Linked DNA regions of Coturnix japonica. The protein of the gene in region 1 binds, or shares a complex with, the protein of each later gene. Links are inferred from orthologs where the notes say so. Each region holds a gene or a part of one and is shown on either strand. Other genes may lie near its edges. The genes, in order: OGDH and TCAIM.

The links.
Region 2: the proteins of OGDH (region 1) and TCAIM are in contact, whole or in part, in a cryo-EM structure (PDB 8I0K), measured with the Homo sapiens proteins. The link is inferred for Coturnix japonica from reciprocal best matches to the Homo sapiens genes OGDH and TCAIM. Residues at the interface, in NP_001425937.1 of Homo sapiens: Gly301, Tyr304, Arg323, Tyr354, Arg356, Ile358, Arg364, Asn365, Lys387, Glu391, Tyr394, Cys395, Gly396, Thr398, Glu399, Lys401, Lys402, Lys561, Met602, Pro605, Glu667, Gly668, Ile669, Asn709, Met734, Ala735, Ser736, Pro737, Asn738, Gln772; in NP_001269842.1 of Homo sapiens: Glu214, Gln234, Arg235, Ser236, Trp237, Gly238, His241, Ser244, His247, Ser248, Arg251, Gln255, Asp272, Arg273, Thr286, Met287, Asp288, Val289, His290, His291, Glu331, Leu332, Gln333, Pro334, Val335, Arg375, Tyr376, Glu441, Ser443, His473.

Annotation. Positions count from the first base shown.
Region 1 is NC_029537.1:133,401-137,215, reverse strand, and holds part of OGDH (2-oxoglutarate dehydrogenase, mitochondrial), read left to right. Parts: exon of another isoform or gene 1-899; intron 900-1,003; exon of another isoform or gene 1,004-1,110; intron 1,111-2,305; exon of another isoform or gene 2,306-2,415; intron 2,416-2,804; 5' UTR 2,805-2,831; coding exon 2,832-3,053; intron 3,054-3,815. UniProt on the Homo sapiens protein: 2-oxoglutarate dehydrogenase (E1o) component of the 2-oxoglutarate dehydrogenase complex (OGDHC). Participates in the first step, rate limiting for the overall conversion of 2-oxoglutarate to succinyl-CoA and CO(2) catalyzed by the whole OGDHC.
Region 2 is NC_029517.1:37,430,842-37,434,656, reverse strand, and holds part of TCAIM (T-cell activation inhibitor, mitochondrial), read left to right. Parts: intron 1-413; coding exon 414-505; intron 506-2,499; coding exon 2,500-2,732; intron 2,733-3,262; coding exon 3,263-3,394; intron 3,395-3,815. UniProt on the Homo sapiens protein: May regulate T-cell apoptosis.

The DNA.
Region 1 (3,815 bases):
ATCCCCTGTGGGCAGCGTCCCCACGCTGGGTTTCATCATCGTGGACGTCCCCGTGGGGGGATGATCCCATAACGGATGTTCCCCACACCCGGAGGGCTCTGCACCACAATGGCCATCCACAATGTGCATCCATTGTGTGCTGCAGACCCCAATGGTTGGATGGCCCTATAGATGGATGGATGGATGTCCCTATGGATGAATGTCCCTATGGATGATGTCCCCATGGTTGTATGTCCCTACGGATGGATGTCCCTATAGATGGATGGATATCCCTATAGATGTATGTCCCTATGGATGGATGTATGGCCCCATGGATGGATGGATGTCCCTACAGATGGATGTCTGTCCCTATGGATGATGCCCCTGTAGATGGATGTCCCTACGGATGGATGTCTCTATGGATGGATGGATGTCCCTATAGATGGATGGATATCCCTATAGATATATGTCCCTATGGATGGATGTATAGCCCCATGGATGGATGGATGTCCCTATAGATGGATGGATGTCCCCATGGATGGCTGTCCCTACAGATGGATGTCCTTATGGATAGATGTCCCCATGGTTGTATGTCCCTATGGATGGATGTCCCCATGGATGGATGGATGTCCCTATAAGTGGGTGTCCCTATGGATGTATGGCCCTATAGATGGCTGGCTGTCCCTACATCTGGCTGTCCCCATGTATGTCCCTACAGCTGTCTGTCCCTATGTATATCCCCATGGATGGATGGCTGTCCTTATGGATGGATGTCCCCACGGTTGTATGTCCCTATGGGTGGATGGCTGTCCCCATCTATGTCCCTATAGATGTATGTCCCCATGTATGTCCCTATAGCTGTATGTCCCTATAGCTGTATGTCCCTATAGATGTATGTCCCTATAGCTGTATGTCCCTATAGATGTATGTCCCTATAGATGTATGTCCCCATCTATGTCCCTATGGCCGCCCCCCCCCCCCGTTCTCAGCGCGGTTCTTTGGGGGCGTGTCCGTCGTTGTGGGCGGGGCGACGCGGTGACGTCAGAGCGGGGCGTGGCGACGCGGGGCGGCAGCCGGCGGTTGGGGGCCGCTGTCAGAGTCGGGGCCGCGAGCGGCAGCGCGGAGCGGCAGGTACCGGGATGGGGGACGGGGCGGGTCGGTCCGGTCCGGTTCGGTTCGGTTCGGTCTGGTCCGGGGCCGGGCGGGTCGGGGTTGTTGTGTTGGGGGGGGCGGCCCGAACCGGGTCCGTGTCCTTGGCGCCGCCGCCAGGGCGCCCCAGGGCGGGGGAGGGGGCGGGGCCGCCGCGGGGACGGACGGTCCGCTCGGCCAATCGGGGGGCGGCGACGCGCCTCGCGCCGCTCTGATTGGTGGCGGAGGGCGCGAAGGCCGCGCGGCGGAGGCGGGCGCTGATTGGCGGGCGGGGCGCGGGGGCGGGGCCGAGCCTGGCGCCCTGCAGCACGTGGGAACCGGGACCGGAACCGGGTCGGAACCGGATCGGAACCGAACCGCGAGCGGGGCCGGGAGCTGTGCAACGATGCCTTAATGCCTTAATGCCTTAATGCCTTAATAATACCTTAATGCCTTAATGCCTTAATGCCGGCCGGGAGTCCAGGCCCGGCACTGCTGCGCTGCCGTCACCTTTAACGGCAGCAGTTCTGTACCGGGAGGTTCGGATGGTTCGACCCAAACGCTCGGCACCAAAATCCGGCACTTTAAGGGGAATCGGAGCCGCAACGGGGTGAAACTGCGACCGGTCCGTGGGGAACCGGCAGAGATAGAGACAGAACGGGGGGGTGTGAGCTCATAGAGCCATAACGGGCTGTGAGCCGCCATTATAGAGACATGGGGGCGAAAAGGAGCCGAAAAAACATCAGGGGTGACCATAAAGTGATGGGAAAATCAGTGTGAGGCTGTGGGGGCACATCCAGTGTGGGACGGGTATGGGATGGACACAGGACAGGGAGTCTCGTCAGCCCATTCTCATTGCTGGGGCTGTATCATTGGCCTTTATCGCAGTGTGAGTGGGGAGGAGATGGGGGGACCTGCCCAGGACCCCACACCCTCTTTGGTCCATGGGATGCTGAGTTGTGTTGTGGCCCAGCTCCTCCTGCAGTCACTTCTCCCATTGCCCCGCAGTTCAAGGTGAGCTGTAGCACCTCGGTCTCTCGCTGCACTCCCAGCCCCACACATTGTGGGGTCAGCCCCATCCCCCTCAATGCACTGAGAGTCACTGCGGGCTCCTTGTCAGATGGATGGAGGCCAGAGGCAGCGTGAGTAATGCAGCAGGAATGGGCCGGGCTGAGCCGCTCTGCTCCACGCGCAGCAGGAAGGGGAGCGAAGGAGAAAGCTCTGGTTATACAAACCCTGCTCGGGGTGCTGTGCTGTGTCCCGGCAGGACGGGGTCAGCTGAGCGCAGGGCAGCGCAGCATCCAGCTGGTAAGAAATAAATCAAGTCGCTGGAACTTTCCGGGCTGGTTTGGCCCCTGTTTGGGTGGCATCCTGCAGCTCCCAGCCCCGACTGTGCTCCTACACCCAACAGTGCTGGGCTCTGATTCCATGCGGTGCTGTCCCAATGCACACCATGGGCACGGGGCACTGCTGCCCATGGCCTGGTGTGAGCTGGGCACCTCGCAGGGCTCCCTTGTGCCGCAGTCACGTGCCCATCAGCTGAGTGCATGGGGAAGGGATGGGAATAAATCAGCAGCAGCTCCGGGCTGTTGTGCGAGCAAAGGTTGTTGCTCACTTACGAAGCTGGTGCCAGGGGTGACGGTGCTCGCGCTGCCTTGCGCCCCTTCCTAAAGCTCTGTTTGCTTCTGTTCCCACAGGGACTCGTGTGAGGCCGTCGGACAAACATGTTTAACTTAAGGACTTGTGCAGCAAAGCTGAGGCCGCTCACGGCCGCTCAGACTGTTAAGACAATTTCCCAACAGAGGCCGGCAGCGCCCAGGACGTTTCAGCCCATCCGGTGCTACAGCGCGCCGGTGGCTGCCGAGCCTTTTCTGAGCGGGACTAGTTCAAACTATGTGGAGGAAATGTACTATGCGTGGCTGGAAAATCCCAAAAGTGTACATAAGGTAAGGAGCAGCTCCCCGGGAAAACGCCTCCGCTTCGGTGTGTGCGTGGCCCTGGGGGCAGGTAATGCAGCGTCCCACGAGGATTCATCAGGGTGTGGATGTCTGTTCCTCTGCGCTCAACTGAAAGCAGCAGCTGCATCAGAAGCTTCTCGTCTCCAGAGCGACCACCCTGTGCTTTGTGTGCAGCCAACACGTCCTGGATCACACATGGATACAAGGAACGGCTTCATTGGGAATCCGTCCTGCCGAGCTCCAGATGTTGTCTGCTCTCCAGCCCTTACAGGAGGGTCCATCCTGGGGGTGACAAGGAGAGGGTCCCCCTCACATCTCATGTCCCGTTTGCTGTCTGTGCCCTGCTGAGCGGGGCCGTGTGTTGGTGCATCACTGCAGCACGAGGCAGAGCTGTGGGCTTTGCTCCTGGATGGTCGGGGCATTTCTGAAAGCCCGCCGTGTTTTTCCCCCGGCGTCACACAAAGGAAGTTTTACCGCAGGGAACGAGTTTCAGCCTTACTCACATCATCTGTAAAAGGGTTTCGTGCACGTTGTGGTGCTCCCAGGGCAGACTTATTGTGCAGCTGTCACACGGGTGCTCAGGGGATGTGGAAGGAAGTTGGTGCTCAAACGCTTGTGTCAGCAATGAGCTGTTTTCAGAGCATTGACCTCACGCATCCAAACAGCCTGTGGGAGCCCTAAGGCAGGGTCAGAGCCAGGTTCTCATCAACCACTTCACTGCCTTCCCTTTATGCAGCCAGCGTTGTGCTC
Region 2 (3,815 bases), on another chromosome or scaffold:
GGAAGTACTGTTGAATGGTTATGCTAATGGTTCTTCAACCTTTACTTTATTTCTATGTGCCTTAAGTATATAGCACATATTTCCTTGGGTATATGTCATTTGTACAGATTATTTGAAGGCTCTGTTTGCTGATATTTTCTGTATTTCCAGTTAACTGAAATTCTACTGGTTCTACTTGTTTAAACAGGGAGAAAGCAAAAGCTAGTTAAGTCTTGTATGGAAAATTATTGAACTGGGGTTTTCAGGGATCACTTTTTTGGATTTTGAGAATAAAGAAAGCAACTGCTCATTTTGTTTGTGCTAAGAAAATGTGTTACTTGTGACACATTAGTAGCGTGCCTAAATCTTACATAATTGTGTGAATGGTGGCAGTAAATAATGAAATTTAGTAAGGAGCTTTCTTTGATCTTTAGGACGCACGGTGGTTTTCACAGATCGTTCAGGTATGAGTGCAGCAGGCCACGTGATGCTGGGGACCATGGATGTTCACCATCACTGGACCAAAGTAAGGTTTCAGAGCAAGTGCTGTTCTCTGTTGTTATGACATCCTTTTCTAAACTATAGCCAAAATATCGTCGCTAATTACTCATGAGTAATTTAAAGGAAAAAACATGGCTGCTATGTTTAGCGTAACCTTGTACATCACATTCTGAATTCAGTCTTATTTTACTAACAGCAGTCTTTGTCAGATCTTTTCTTCTGCTTCTACTAACAAACCAGTCTCATCTCTGATTAGATATAAATGACTCTAATAAGCTACACGTTGTTCCAGTCCATAGGTAATAAGTGCAATAAGCACTGGTGGAATATTTCTTCATCTATAAAGAGCTCATTCCCATGAAGAATTTAGGAATTCTGTTCTGATTGTTGATGTAAATGGAACTTAAATGGAGTTGTGAAGGGGTCTGTTCAGTCGGTGGCTGCTTTCCAACTCTGTATCTTCACTTTGTTCTTTTAGGCAGATGACGGAGGTGTTGCAAAAATTTATCTTCAGTGAATAGACAAATTCTGCTGTTTGTGTCAAGTTCAGATTCATCAAATTTCTGGCATCCTATATAATAAAGCACTGTATGAGGATGCATGTCACTTCAAGGGAATTTTCCTGAATCTTGATAATTAAAATGCTAGCAATAGTTCTTTCAAAAAAATATTTCTGTGTAAAGTGATAATTAGAGGAATTTCATAGTTGGAAATTTCACCCAGCTAGAATTTAAGAATATTTTATTTCTGCATTCCAGTCAGTTATCATATGAAAACTGAGCACTCAACCTAAAGTTTTCTCTGGTGATGATTTGGATTTTTGCCTGTACATTTCACTGAAGGAAATGATAAGCCATGTTTTGTTAATATGGAATGATTTATGAACTTAATAAAGTGAGAAACTAGAATTGAATGCAGAGCTTTCTACTCTGAGATTTGCATTGATAGTAATTGGAATACAAGTATTTTTCTAATACTGGGGGAAAAAAGCCAATCCATTCCTTAATGAGATAAATGTTTCCTCTTTCTAACTGGCCAAAAGCTGCTTGGATTCTACTACTCTCTCATATTTATAAAGAGGTTATTCTGAAATCACTTGATTGTCCCAGCAAAAGTATTTTCTTTTTTTTTAAATGAAAAACTGTGTTCTGCTAATAGCTGAGTAGGTGGTATGTGGTGACTACGACAGACTTTTTTCTTACAGCCTTTCCTCTGTAACCAACCTTCTGTGTCTTGGCTCACAAGTCTGATCACATCTTAATCTTTTCTGGCAGAAGTTTGTAAATTAGATGTCCGGTTCTTTCCTTCCCTCCTTCCCCCAGGGAAGTGGTGGAGTCGCCATTCTTAGCAGTGTTCTAGAGGCGTCTGGATGAGGAGCTACGAGAGATGGTTTAGTGGCTTGTGGCAGCAACGGCGATGGGAGGGCGGTTGGACTGGATGATCTTGTAGGTCCTTTCCAACCTTGTGATTCTATGATTTTCCTCCAGACTCCAAATAAACGATATTATTAGCTGAGTCCATGGAAAGAACTAGTCCCAGTGCTGCAGGCTCTCTGTTGTTTGAGGAATGGATATATAAATTAGGCTGGCGAAGACACCCTTGATGACAGTGTGTGGTAGATATGCATGTAGGCATTTTATGTAGGCTTTAGATTATAATTTGCTTTAGATCTGGGAATGTTAATTCTGTATACATAGATATAAGGGGCATCCACTGATCTTGTCATATGGTATTGGTGCGTTTATAGTGTAAATACTGAAAATACTTACGAACTTTTTCCATTATATCTCACCCCAAAGTGTATAATAACAATATTACTTTCTTTTTTATATATATTCCTTGATTTCTGTTTCCCGTGTTTTTTATGTGTAGTGGGGTGTTTTTTTTGTTTGCTTGTTCTTTTTGTTTTCTTTTTTTTTTTTTTTCGCTGTTCAGTGTCTCTTGTTAACTTTTTCTAACAATTCAGTTGTACGCTTGATAACATAAAAAGCTCTTGTGTGTGTGTGTGTGTCCCCACAGATTTTTGAGAGGCTGCCAAATTATTATAAACTTCAGGAAAGGCTGCTGTTCTTGGAAGATCGGATAAGCCAACTTCTGGGAGGCATACAAGTAATATACGTAGAAGAGCTGCAACCCCTCTTGACTCTGGAAGAGTACTATGACACTCTGGACTCTTTCTATAACAAACTACTTGACAGTCGACTGCCTTTTCATCCCCAGAGCCTGAGAGGCTTGCAAATGATTCTAGAAAGGTGAGTATTTGCAGGAAAGATTTATTTCGTCTGGAGCTTTTAGTTTTTTTGTTGTTGTTCCACTGATTATTGCTTTCACTAAGAAGAAAACTAATAATGATTTTAGATTTTCAATGTATCAGTCTTATTTTTAAAGGTTTCTGTGCCTTTATATGGGTTAGGGAAAGAGTCAGGCTGAAGGAAATCATACGTATTTCATTCAATTCATTGGAGTCAAGGTGGAGGTTTTTATCTTTTGTTGTGTTGGGTTAAATCAAAGGTTTTGTGCTGTAAGAGCAACATTTATATATAATGATGACAAGTATATGTACTTCTTAATGTTGTTGACTGTGTTGCTTATGAAATGCTCTGGAAATATTTATGTATGATGTTTATGTATTCTTATGAACCAAACTTGATTATTTTTTTTACCTACTATTCTGATTATCTACTGATAATCTTATGTTCAGAATCCATTTTGTAAGTAATTCATGGGAGTAGTTATGTGGAAAAAAAGTCTTGCTTTTCATTTCCATCACGTTTCATTGCAGTGATAGATACACACCAAGCTTACATGAATTTGGACACTTCACCATCCCAACAGTCTGTGATCCAGCAACCCTTCGATGGTTTATTATTGCCAAAGCGCAGGAAGCAAGAGAGAATCTGAAAAGAAGGGAAGAGTAAGTGTTTATATCCCAGTACACTTTTGTTCATGAAAATCTTTGCACACCATGTTCCTTACTTGTAACAGTGCTGAAACTTTGAGGATAGCATTTTTGCTCTTCAGTTGGAAAAGCAACTTCTGTTTGTAAAGCAAAGCTTTACCTATCAGCTTTACTGAGTTGAAAATGGAAGCATGCTGTGAACACAGACATTTGATAGGAAATTACTGTCCTTCACACTGTAGAAATAGTTTGTCATTTATTCAGAAGCAGAGGATTTTTGCCTGTGTGGTTTTTTTGTTTGGTTGGTTTTTTTGATTTATTTTACAATGTCCCTAAAGAAGAGGCTTTCCCCCTTTTTCCCCTTCTTTTCCACCCTTTCCCTCCTTCCACACTGGAAGAGTCCTTGTTATTGAACTAAAAAATCAACAAACTTCTA